3 linked regions of the Oryzias latipes genome follow. The protein of the gene in region 1 interacts with the protein of each later gene in a pairwise test. Links are inferred from orthologs where the notes say so. Each region holds a gene or a part of one and is shown on either strand. Other genes may lie near its edges. The genes, in order: smad1, psmb4 and lemd3.

Evidence for each region.
Region 2: the proteins of smad1 (region 1) and psmb4 interact in binary tests that used the Homo sapiens proteins (3 or more experiments, as listed by UniProt). The link is inferred for Oryzias latipes from reciprocal best matches to the Homo sapiens genes SMAD1 and PSMB4.
Region 3: the proteins of smad1 (region 1) and lemd3 interact in binary tests that used the Homo sapiens proteins (3 or more experiments, as listed by UniProt). The link is inferred for Oryzias latipes from reciprocal best matches to the Homo sapiens genes SMAD1 and LEMD3.

The regions. Positions count from the first base shown.
Region 1 is NC_019859.2:18,353,858-18,358,001, reverse strand, and holds the start of smad1 (mothers against decapentaplegic homolog 1), read right to left. Parts: upstream 2,803-4,144; 5' UTR 2,674-2,802; intron 1-2,673. UniProt on the Homo sapiens protein: Transcriptional modulator that plays a role in various cellular processes, including embryonic development, cell differentiation, and tissue homeostasis.
Region 2 is NC_019869.2:4,417,649-4,421,944, forward strand, and holds psmb4 (proteasome subunit beta type-4), read right to left. Parts: upstream 2,803-4,296; 5' UTR 2,762-2,802; coding exon 2,637-2,761; intron 1,935-2,636; coding exon 1,808-1,934; intron 1,735-1,807; coding exon 1,655-1,734; intron 1,569-1,654; coding exon 1,422-1,568; intron 1,295-1,421; coding exon 1,213-1,294; intron 1,024-1,212; coding exon 907-1,023; exon of another isoform or gene 731-906; coding exon 642-730; intron 534-641; coding exon 521-533; 3' UTR 401-520; downstream 1-400. UniProt on the Homo sapiens protein: Non-catalytic component of the 20S core proteasome complex involved in the proteolytic degradation of most intracellular proteins. This complex plays numerous essential roles within the cell by associating with different regulatory particles.
Region 3 is NC_019881.2:11,305,995-11,310,059, reverse strand, and holds the start of lemd3 (inner nuclear membrane protein Man1), read right to left. Parts: upstream 2,805-4,065; 5' UTR 2,765-2,804; coding exon 1,558-2,764; intron 1-1,557.

The sequences.
Region 1 (4,144 bases):
AAAAATGCCTAGCAATATTGGAGCGATCCAACAGGAGAGTTTTGAGTCAGATGTCAACTCGGACAAGGAAAACAAAGACTAACATGGATCAATGCATCTACAAGTGGATCTATGGGAATAGAGCGGAGCAGGGGGGTTGTGGTCTGCCGGCTGCAGCAGCACCTACATCACTGCTACAGACTTTTTCCAACTGCTCTTGATTTACAACCATTTAAATGAAGAAATACTCAAAAAAGAAATTTTGAGCACTTTTCTTTTTTTTTACATGTCCTCCATCATGAGAAAAATACTATAAGAACATGTTAAAAACACCAAAAATATTTTCATTGGACCAGGTCTTTATATAGATTTTGAACAATAAAGGCTTGATCTGTTAAAAAAAAGCATCCTGTTTATTTTCAAATCTTTAATTCTTATGTATAAAGAGATTATTTTGGACAAAATAAAGATGACATCCACAATTATTTAAAATCTGTTAGGGTCCACAGTGAGCAATGAATGCAGATTTCTGCCAAAGTTATTTTACCCAGCAGTCTATGTATAAGTAAAGCTTAAAAATAACCACAGACACACACAAGATGCCTTCTGACTAGACATAGTCATTGACCAGAGTGTCCTTTGAGTCACCGGGCCACGGTCCCCCACAAACACGAATCTGTGCAATGCTCAGATTCGGCAAGGATTGCACGATAAGTTAGAGATGAAGCTCTGAATGGGAACAGCCTCTGCAAACGGCCTGGAATCACATTTGTCCTGACTACAAAGCTACAGCCGTATTTTTACATTCCAGATACATCAGTCAACACGCAACCGGACAGCAGACATAAATAGCAATCGCATGGGTTTGTAGGCAGCCATCTCAAACATGCTTGGCACTCAAGAGTCGGGTTTGTGTTGTGTTAGGGTGGACACTTCCCCCTATCACTATGAGGCCACAGTGCTCAGATCACACAAACACACAAGAAAAGTGTAACAAATTAATCCTATATATTCATACTTTAGTACATTACACTATAGTCAGAAATATTTCATTTGCAAAATGAATCTGTCAGTGTAGTTTAGCTCAGTTTTCTGATTGTAGTCACCCTAAGAAATGCCACAGCTGAAAGACAGACAACAATAACACTGGGAACTCTACATGCTAAAGCTAAATTTCTTTACGAACATGTGTACAAAAAAACCCACAGACAATAAGCTAAATAAATACATTACATTTATTTTTCTTATCAGTCCTAAAAGACTGAAAAGAAAAGGGAAGAACACACAATTTCTCAAGCATAACTCATCATTGCATACCCCGAGAATGCAAAACAACAACAGGGTATAGGCTGTAGCACGAACAAGGGCAAAATCCCGTCCTTTGAGTAATCTGATATGTCATCTTCAATAATGTCAGGAGATCTGGGCTGAGCTGCTGCAAGACTCTCACTCTGTGTTTTCCCTTGTTTACCTTCCATGGACACAACTGCAGAAAAACTCTAGTACACTACTGTGCAAATGCAAGGAAAAGTACTTCTTAAAATTCAGCGAAAGGTAGTTATCATTAATCAAACAACAGTAGCAAGTAGTATTCCTGCAATGTACTCATTTTAAGAGTATTGCTGTACTGTTTGACATTAAAATAGAATGGAAAATTGTTCATGATTAAATTATGATTACTCATTAACAGCAGTGTAATAAATCAAATAACACTTCATCAAGACATGTCAGAATGTTGCATAACGAAGTAAAATCAATAACTTTTCTACAATTTTTGGTGTTTTTGTAGACAAAAAGAAAGCACAGATAAATGTCACTTGATCTTTATACAATGTCTATTACATATCCTCAATCATTTTTGTGTGCATTCTAGTATCATGACTTGTTTCAGTCTACAAAGCCTAAAAAAACTAAAAAAAATTAAAATATTTATGTTCTTCATTTCTTCAAAGCCATTAAATACTTCATTTACAAAATATATTAAACACTCAAGTTGGAGACTCCATGATTAGCTTGTATCTTTGTCGATCATCTTTAAGTGGAGTTTCATAATGAGGATGATTTAATTTCTACAACAACAAAAGTTGATGATGTAGATCTGCCTTGTTGGTTTATTATTTGCTGAGTGTATTTAGTTTATGCACATATAAACTGAGTTTACATGATCAAAGTAATTAGTCATTTTTCAAAATGATCACTTTTGGCCTTATAATTCAGTATTCTGACATTAAACAAAGAAATAACGTGGCTGAAATGGGATACAACTATATAGCATTACATCACCTAATATTGCTTTTTTTCATGTGAAAAGAAAGTATTTTTGAAATTGAACCAAAATGAAGCCTAAATTCTGTCATTTAAAGAGATTTGAAAACAACAGCATTTGCAGCTCCCCCCCCCCCCCACACACACACACATTCTAAATCTGTACTTCATAAGAGTTTTCTAGAAAGCAACGATGCTGAGCTCTCATCATCATCACTTCATGATTTCCACACAGAAGAAAAAAACAACATAAGTCTCCCGTCAGAGACTTTGAATTAAAGGGGGGAAAGTTTGAAGCTTCCAACTGACAGACTACTGCTAACCTGCTAACCTTCTCCTTCCTCTCGGTAAAGTGGTGCGCAGTATAAACAAGATATGCTAGAATTAGTTTTATTTATAAAATTTAAAGGAATAAAAATATCTCCGTACCTTTTTTTGTGTGTAGTTTACGCTTTCTGGGAATCACCGGGCCCCTCCTGAGCGCTCTCGCTGCCTGAGTTGGGTCTTATCGACCTGGCGTCACAGAGTCGCCGAGCCGCCTCACACTCCCCCTGTGCGCCAGTATTACGCCGCGGGACACAGACCCCAACACAGAGCAGACCTACTACATCTTCATAAGTGGATTATGTAATTGTAAAACAGTTAGAGCTTCTCGCAAATTGTCAACAATTTCTTACAAGGAAAGGGTTTCCATTCTGTTCCTATACTACATAACAGTTCTGTGTTTTTTTTTAACTTCAAAGCATAAAAACTCCTCCCATAACTTCTCTGTAAATCCATATTATTTGGACTGTGCATTTTGTTGGCGTACACACCTTTTAAATGAGAGTTAAAAAGTGTAAATTGCTAAGAGAATTGAGCAAGCCTGCTTGGTTTTTTTCTGTTTTTTTCTGCAATCCTGACAGGCAGTTTGTCTGATCCTGAACTTCTGAACTGCATTTAGGCATTTTGTTTCCCTCAAGCTGTGATTGTGACATGATAAGCAATTGCCTGATAGAGGAAAAAAGTAAATAGACGTCATAGAAACATGACCACACGTGCCACGAAACAAAGAATACAAGCGTGAAATGAAATAAATATATTGTATCTTAATTGGAATAAATGCTAATAGTGTATCATAGATATTAAATATATGAAAGGAAGTGTATATACAGAGTAAAGCTAAAATTCTCCACTTTGCCTGTGTATTGCGATAAAAAAAACAACATACAAGTGTTTTGTAATAATGTGATATTTTTCAAACGAAAGAAAAAAAACGTCACATTTTTAAAATAGTTTTTCTAAGATTTGGCGTTTCCGCCGCGAGAGGGACTAGATTATCTTGAAGACAGGCGGAGGCAAACGCTCTCGACGCAGAAAGCTTCTGGCACACGTGACGTCACGGCGCTGGCGACAGAATGTCTGAGTGAGGCGGGCGCGAGCAGCACGTGAATAAATGTGGGGGGAAGAAGGGAACGGGGTGGAGGGGTGGAGGCTCGCTGATGAGGATGATGATGATGATCGTTATAATAGGGATCATGATGGCGGGGGCAGGGGGAAGGCTCTTCAAACTTGAAGCAAAAAGGATTCCCTTCAGACAGACACACTCGGGCGCGCGCACACATCCACTATCATCCTCTTATTTTACCTTCCTAGATGCACAACTTTATTATCACAGACAAAAGTTTATATGCCAAAAATAAAAACTACAGTTAAAAAAGCATGTGTCTAGAGCTATAGCTATTAAAAGCATAGTCACTGAATTGGCATGATAAATTCAGATTAGTTGACAAAGTACATCCCAAAACGTTTTCCTTCTGTAATATAAAACTCACTTAAAAACTACTTTATTTATTGACTTACAAAAACGTCTTGATACAATTGTTATCCTAACAAAGCAGAAATCTTTAATAGTTAAAAG
Region 2 (4,296 bases), on another chromosome or scaffold:
TTAAAATGAAAATGACATATTTAAATTATCATTCATAAATGGTAAAAAGCTGATGAAAAAACAGGTTCTAAGTATACTCCATGTATTCCAAAAATACTTTTAAATAATGGATAGAGTCAAGTTCACATATTATTGAATCCTAAAATCTTTTTTTCAATGCAGTTATATCAGCATGGACAAATATGGACAATACCTCCTAAAAACCCCACCCCTGCAATCTATCATTGTAAAAAAAAAGCTTGATAGTGGATTGAGAGAATAAGGAGGAAGCAGAGGATTGCATGAAGGCAGATGATTCACTATGGCGACCCCTAAAAGGAGCTATCAAATATAGTGAAATTAAAATAACTTTAAATGTTTTTGTCTATTTCTTTGTTTAAAATAAAACCAACCAAGCAGGTTTTTCAGTTTTAACATTTTTATTTTTCATTATACAAAGTGACCCAACAAAAAGAAACTAAACTCGATAAACTGCAGGTTGTTTATGGTTTTGATGAAAAAAATGAAACATGCTTGTAGTTCATTCGAATCCGCTGCAGAGACACAAAATGAAAAACAGAAATTAATCCAGGGAGGTCAAATTTACACTGTTTTACAAGAAAGTTTCAGACTTATACCCACAGAAAATGTCTGGAGCCTACCTGATCAGGTGAGCAATGTCCCAATTGGTTTCAGAAGACAAAGGGCCGATTATTTCCACTCCCTGTTCAGTTACAATGGCAATCTCATGCTGAAAGACAAAACACAATATCAATTTCAACCTAATAATCCACAATATTTATTTAAAAAGTCAGAGCGTTTTGCACTTTTGGTAAAAAAATTCTCACTTTGAGCTACTCCTTTAAATCCAGTTACATCTAAGTAAATGTCTGCGCCTCCCAACAGATCGACGACAGATGCACTTACCCTGTTGTAGGACCGAGCGTCTCTGTAGTACAGCACTTTAAGGCAGCGCTCTATCAGGTCTCGCGCCTCCTGCTTGGTGATGTCAGCCTTGTTTTCAACCACTTCTCTCATAAGAGGCTGCAACACAAATTTTCTTTTTTACTTAAGTCTAATCCTTCCGCAAAGTTAGTCAGTTGGACAAAGAAAAAACAAGATTGTTGTGTCGCTCATCATTTAATTAATGGAAACCTGACATTTTAAATTTGACAACAAAGTCAAAACAATAACAAATCCTCACTAACATCCAAATCTGACTTTGAAACATACCTGAGCAAGGTAAGCTCCAAAACCAGTAGCCACTGTTGGAGCTTCATAAGCCACGCCAAGCTTGTCCACATAGCCCAGGAAACTAAAGACATAAAATTTCCGTATTAAATGTATTGATTAGTGATTGTCGTTTATTAGACTAAAACTTAACCTACACTACTTTACTGACAATCTAGCTTAAAAAACCTTAACTCGTCTTTTTGACTCACCTTTCTCCATTGTAGAAACCCCCGAGGACAACCGTGTTCCACAGAGGATTCATCTTGCTGCGTCGGTTGTACATCACTCTGGTCAGCCAGGAGTGGATAGCTTTTGGACTGTAGCTGTGGCCATCACCAAGCAGTTCCTCATCAATCCTGGGATGTAAATTACGACCTTTAGAGACACGCATGATCCACATACAACAGACTGAACTGCTTTAGTGTGTCTATCAGCAGCTTACACCATCTGCTCGATGACCTGTTTGAGATACTGATAGTCTGCGTAGTCTCCTGATGCCCCCAATATGGTGTTATCATTCACCTGCAACACAAACTGTAATCAGCCATGTTTTTTTTTTTACTCATTTAGACATGTTTTCAACAGTAACGCTTACCTTCATGAGTCGAGAGATGTTTCTGAATCGAGCCAGAGAGCCATAGGAGCCTAACATGTCGGCGGCGATGATGACCCCGCCTGCAAACTTCACTCCAAGAACTGATGTCCCGGTTACCATCGGGTTGCTGCGGAGGGGAAGATGTACGATTAGCAACAACAAAAAAACTGCATCTAAATACAGAGAATCTATCATCTGCATGGATACCAAACTGAAAAACGAATGTAAAAAGAAGCTTCCTGTTTACAAACACAAGAAAGAAATTCAAATATACCAGTAATCCATAATCTGATTGAAAAGCAGACTGTAGTAAAATACACATTTATTGTAAAAGCAATATTTTAAATCAAATGTGTCTACATTGGAATATTAATAATTATTTTATCAAACAAAAACGCTAAAATAATTGCCGTCTCTAAATAAAAAAACATTTGTCTATATTTTTATGGAAAATATTCACAAAATGTGATGTAAACCGGTGAATAAATCTACAAATGAGGTATTTAAACCCCCCGATGCATTGAGGTCCAACAAACACACAAAAAAGTTGGCTATTACGATGACGGCTAACAATTAGCTAAATTCCTCGAGTTAAAATTAAATTTACTAAATTGTAGAGATTAAGCCGAGTTTAAATGTATGTTCAACAGCATATTGTATTATTTTACTTCGTATAATAAAGTTAAACTCGATTTAAACAGACAATAAGCACAGCAACATGATTTAGCAGCCATGATGATACAGCAACGAAGCTCAAATATCGAAACCCGGAAAGATGTTTTGATTTAAGTAACTGTAGCGGTTCTGGTAGTCACTGTGGCGAACTCACAGCGTGTGTCTGACCGGTCCGCATGATGTGCCCGGTCCGCTGCTGCTACTGCCGGGAAAAGAATAAAATTGTCCCGGTTTTGGTCCGTTCTCCCAGAAATTCATCTTCAAACCGTGAGACTCCATGTTGACTCTGCAGGAAATGACGTCAGATTTTTCGTTTCGTTGTAATAAGCGTTACGTGACGTCAAATTGAACTCTACTGCTCCCTGCTGTCCGGAAGATGAAAAAGCTGCACAAAATAAACTAACCATTTGATTGTTTTTTTATTTTACTTTTTCTTTTGTAAGTCGCGATTTTTTTTATAATTATTCCTTTGTTGTTTTGATTTCATTTTAAATTTATAAATTTTTTTAGAAAGCACAATGCAATTTTTTTTATCAAGACTGTAACAAAAATTATTTGAGATTAATCTTGCTTCAAACGCTTATAAAAACAGTTGAATTAAAAGGAAACAAATTCAGAAATAATAATAGTAATAACAACAACAATAGCAACAACAACCAATAGCATAATAATAATAAAAATTATAAAACATTTCATTTAACTAAAATATTATTACAACATAATTTAAATATATATATATATATATATATATATATATATATATATATATATATATATATATATATATATATATATATATATAGTTTTGACTATAAAAAGAGAATTTGTATGCTCTCAATAGACTTCTTTGTAAATTAAATTAGATTGACATGCTCTCATTTCCGCCGACCCCATTTAAAATGGTCTAACTCCTCCACTCAGTCAGCATTGCAGTACCGACTTTCTGATTTGACTGAAAAACGGATGAATTGAATAAGAAGATCATGACTGAGGTACAAGCTAAAAATGTAGAAAAAATGCAGTGAAAGACTGGATGACTCTCAGACCCTCAGCTGCAGCTCCACAGGTTACCACTATGACACACAGATGTACGGTCCCCTGTTTACCCTATTTAGACTGTAAATAGATTTTCCATCAATGCTTGAACAATGATATAACTGATTTAGCGTCCAATTGTGATTACATCTTCTGATTTAAATCACTTCACAAATGTTATTTCTTGTATTTTCATGTTTTTTGTGTGCCACTACTCCTAGTTTGCATTAAAAACACGCATTCTTTCACCAGAAATATGTGCAACTAAGTAGATTATCGATGTTTGACTTGAATGTGCTCTTAAAAGGTGCATGGCTGTTTTAAAAAAAACATCTCTCAGTAATTGAACCAGTGATTTCCTGCGGGGAGACACTCAGCAGGCAGCAACATGCGCTCTGCTCCTTCCAGCCTGGCACACCTGCCTGCACAGTCACGGTTGTCATGGCAACCAGGTGGGGCCCTGTTGCTGCAACGCACCACACCTCTGCGGTCCAGGTGGTTAAAGGTACAGAGGGGAAGAGCGAGAGACGGAAGGCAGCAAGACAGGCGGCGCGAGGGAGCGTGGGCACCAGAGTCCGCTCGTAAACTCATAAAAAGATGAGTCCAACTCCAACAGCTGAGTCATCAGGATCGCAGCAGGTTCCTCCAAGGTCTGGGCTGTTTGAGCTAAAAACAATCTAACCCGTCTCACCTGTCTGTCCTCACCTGACAGTCGACGGGCTGAGCGAGCAGAGCTGCTGTAAGTCTGTTTTTCCCTGTTATTGCTTGGTGTTACTCTT
Region 3 (4,065 bases), on another chromosome or scaffold:
GTGCTGCCTCTAAAAGGCTTGAGAGCTTCAGTTATTACCCAAATGATCATTATGGATATCAACAGCTGACTTCTTCATTAAGATATTCGGATTTTCTTGTTTGTTTTTTTCAGGAGTCCTGGAGAGTCTGGTGAGGCCAGTGCTGTTTTTGTTTTAACAATTTTAAATAACAGATATCAACTTGTTTCTCAATAAATTTTTTATTTATTTATAATAATACAGTTTTTGAGTGACTTCTTCCCCTGGCATCGCAAACAGGAAGTACCTGCTGGCTCCAAGAAGCCAAAATCCCATAGACATCTATAGAGAAATGAGCAGCTGTTAATCATTCTATTGGTCAGAAAAAAACATATTTTCTTTATCGTAAGTTATTTAGGTTTTAAACTGACCATTAGAAGTATGTGGTGTCCACTGGCCCCCACCTGACATGTTCGAAATGTTTGACAGATTATCCTGAGCCCATGTTCAGCGGAATGGGTGTGGCCTACAAACAAGCTCACTGCTGACTGGTAAGACTGGTTGCCATAGAAACGTCGACTCAGACCAATTGGGACCAATCACTGCTTTTGTTGTCAGTGTGGCGGAAAAATCACGACCTCATTTCGCCGGAGCCGGAAGTAAGGCATTTTCTATGGGCGACGTTACACTCGCTCAGTCCAGTGGTCACAACACCTCTGATCAGCTGACAGGTATGTCCAGCTGGCTACACCTATCACAACCAGCTAATAGTGATGTGTCATGACAGGAGCGCCACAGATTAGATTGGAAAATATGCTTTTCTTTCTTTTTACAGATGTTTGTCAGATGGCATTCGAGATTCCATCTTAAGGGTGTATATATCATGCTTTTCTTAAGCCTTTCAGAGTCAACTAGATCCATTTATATGATAATAAATATTACCTTTGATACACTGAAGGACTTTTTTTTGGGAAAACAAGTTATTTTTACAGCTCATTGTCCAACTTGATCTGAGGCTCCTCCTTCCGCTCCTTTCATGACGTCAACCTAGAGTCGCCATCTGCAGTGAGGCAGACTCTAGGTTTCTCCCATGAAAACAAACAACACCCAAACTTTTGCAAAGATGGACATGCATATTGTGCATATTAAACCAGAGCGTTTAGCCGATCACCGCTAGCGCCACTGAGAAAGTTGGTGTGTCTATTAGCCAGGGGGCGGTGCTGGCAGCATCGACTCTTCCTGAAAGGGGCTGGTCCTCACTTTGTGATGTCACGATGTGAGGACCCACTCGCTTTCATGAAGGAGCTGGTGCTCAAGCAGGATTTTAAAGGAAAACCCTAAAAGGCGTGAATGAAACAAAATATTTTAAAGGAAAACCCTAAAAGGCGTGAATGAAAAAATACTGTTTTGGGGTGAAGAATAAAAAATCAAAATACACTTAAAGCTTAAAAAGAGGATTTTTCTTGAATCTCTTGAATGTCTATAGCAATACAATAACGGTAACACTTCTCCATGTTTGATCAAATGCTTGGAACAGTTTAAAGTTCACTTTTGATGCATTAAAAAAACATGTAAAAGTTGATCCAGCTGGATACTTACTAACACTGTCCGCCTCCACGGAGCCCCTCATCCTGAGGTACATGAGGCCGAGCAGCAGGAAGAAGAGGCAGGCTGTGGTGAGCAGGAACATGGACAGATAATGGGCGCTGATGCTGCCGGAGGACGCGGGCTCTTCCCTCCTGAACTGCAGAAGGAGTTCGTCCTCCGGGACAGACAGCTTCTTCTTCGGAGCAGTCGGGCTGTATGCGTGGTTCGGGGGCGGGCTGTGGTTGGAGTGGTTCCCCTTGTGTGTCTGGGCCGGGCTGCTGTAGCCGGAGAAGCGTGGTCTCAGCCCGACGCTGAACCGAGCCCCGCTGTTGCTTCTGGCTGCTCCGTCCTCGCTGTCGAAGTGGTTTTTCCCGGCCTTCGCTCCGCGCTGCTCAGCGAGGGAGACGTAAATGGACTTCCGGGCATACCTCTGCGAGCCCCCAAAAGGGTCGAGCTCCTCTCCGTTCACCTCCTCGTCCTCTGCCCGCACCATCTTCCGAAACCCGGGCGGATTGGGCGAGCTGTTCTTGCCTTTGACCTGCGAGTCTCGGTTGTCTGAGGGAGAGATGGGCGCAGCCGTGCGGCTCCGCCGAGGCTCCGGTAGGTTCCGTTCTCGGTCGCCGGGGCTCAGAACTCCATCTTCGTCCGAATCAGAGTACTCTCCCGCTGTTTTGTTCAAACCAGTCACTTCACGACCATTGACGGAGTGAGGGTTCTCTGGTTCCTCCTCGCCTTCGTCCCCCGACTCGTCGTAATGCCTGGAGCTATGGACGCTCTGATGATGATCCAGCGGACTAGAAAACGAATTCAGGGTCGTTCCGGTGATGTTCTGCTTGTCTGTAGGCCCGGCCAGCTGCTGATGACAAGCGGTGATCCGTCTGTGCTTAGCCAGGCCCTTCCTTTTCAGAGGGGTTTCAGCGTCAGACTCGTCGGAGCTGAAGCCGAGGACAGACGACTTCCGGCCCGGCTTTCTGATCGCGCTCAACTGCGTGACGTCATGTCTACTGGGCCTCGGCGCCGCGATGCTAACCGCTGTGCTAACAGCCGTGCTAGCGCGGCTTTTCAGCACTCTGGATCCCCGCTGCTGCTGCTCCTCACGAAGCTTCTTCAGTTTCTTCAAATAAACCGGTCGGGTGTTTTCCGTGACGGGGCCCGGAGTGAAACCTAAGCGCTTTAACTGCGAAAAAAGCTCCTCGTCCGTTAACTGCGCCGACGCCATCTCGGTTTAAAAGAAAAATAAAAGCGCTTTTCTTGTTCTCTCTCAGGATTTATGGAGAAGCTTCAGTAAAACAGCTACAGAGCGCCCCCTGCCGCACCGTTGTAAAATAACAATACAATTCAGTGTACACTAACTCAAAGAGCACTAACACATGAGAATCTTTCACTACTTTAAAGACTCATTCTGATTAAAAGGGTCTTTCTAACATGTTCTTGTAGCCTTGTTCTGATAACGGAGGTCAAATATTAAGAAGATTAGGCTTACAATTGCATTTCTGAGTGTGTTTTTTTCAAATTCTTGTTAATTAAGTGCAGATTAGAAAAAAATGCAGTTTGAGTTTAAATTTAACACAGAAAATACCCGGGACGCGTCACACGCTCCATGCTCCAGAGCTTTAAGCAACAGGGGGCAGCGTTATTCTTTGCGAAAAGCCCCACCAATAGCTTAGAAGCGAATTTCTGATGAACTCCTTCTGCTCTGCAGAAACTATGTCCTACAAAATGTCACAGTTTTTTTTTTTGTTTTTGCTAAAAACGGCATAATAACTAAAATAACACTTTAAATTACAATCAATAAGCTATTGATTTTGTTTACTTGATCTGCAATGTGTAGCAATAATTACTGGTTTAATGTTATCGTGTGTTCTGATGATAATCAATGATTATTACATATCGGTACCATTACTGTTTACTGAAATCATGAATGAATGTTTTCTGAAGATAATCAAGCATTTTTAGGCACTGGATTTTGTTACTTCACGAGAATCTATCTGATCAGAACCGGATTTAAAACAATGTAAAACTATCAAATTAATTAACTCAGTAGGGGTGCGATTATATAAGCTTGCTTCTTCCCACTCCTTTTCAAGCAATAAATCAAACTCTACTTATACTTTAGTTAATGATCACTGTATTTAATGAAGCAAATGTGATTCAAGTGAGGTTTTTGTTTTGTTTTATTTTCTGTCTTTTTAATCTATGCATTTCATCATTTCTGTAATGAGTTTGATAAATATATAAAATAATATATAAATTCTTTATTGCTTTGACTACAATGCTTGAAATAAATCAATAAAATCAAATCAACACTGGGGATGCTTTGAAAATAGATCTGACGATGATCAGAGTGGGTCTTTAAATCTTTCTTTTTGGCTCTTTGTTGAGGTGAGGCACCAGAATGTCTGCTTGGCCCTCTGTTTTCCCACAGCCTCCCTCTCTTTTCTGACTGATCTACAGCGGCGAACGCCCCGCAAAACCACAGAACTGCTGACAGGCTCTCAACTGACGGTCATTCAACACAAG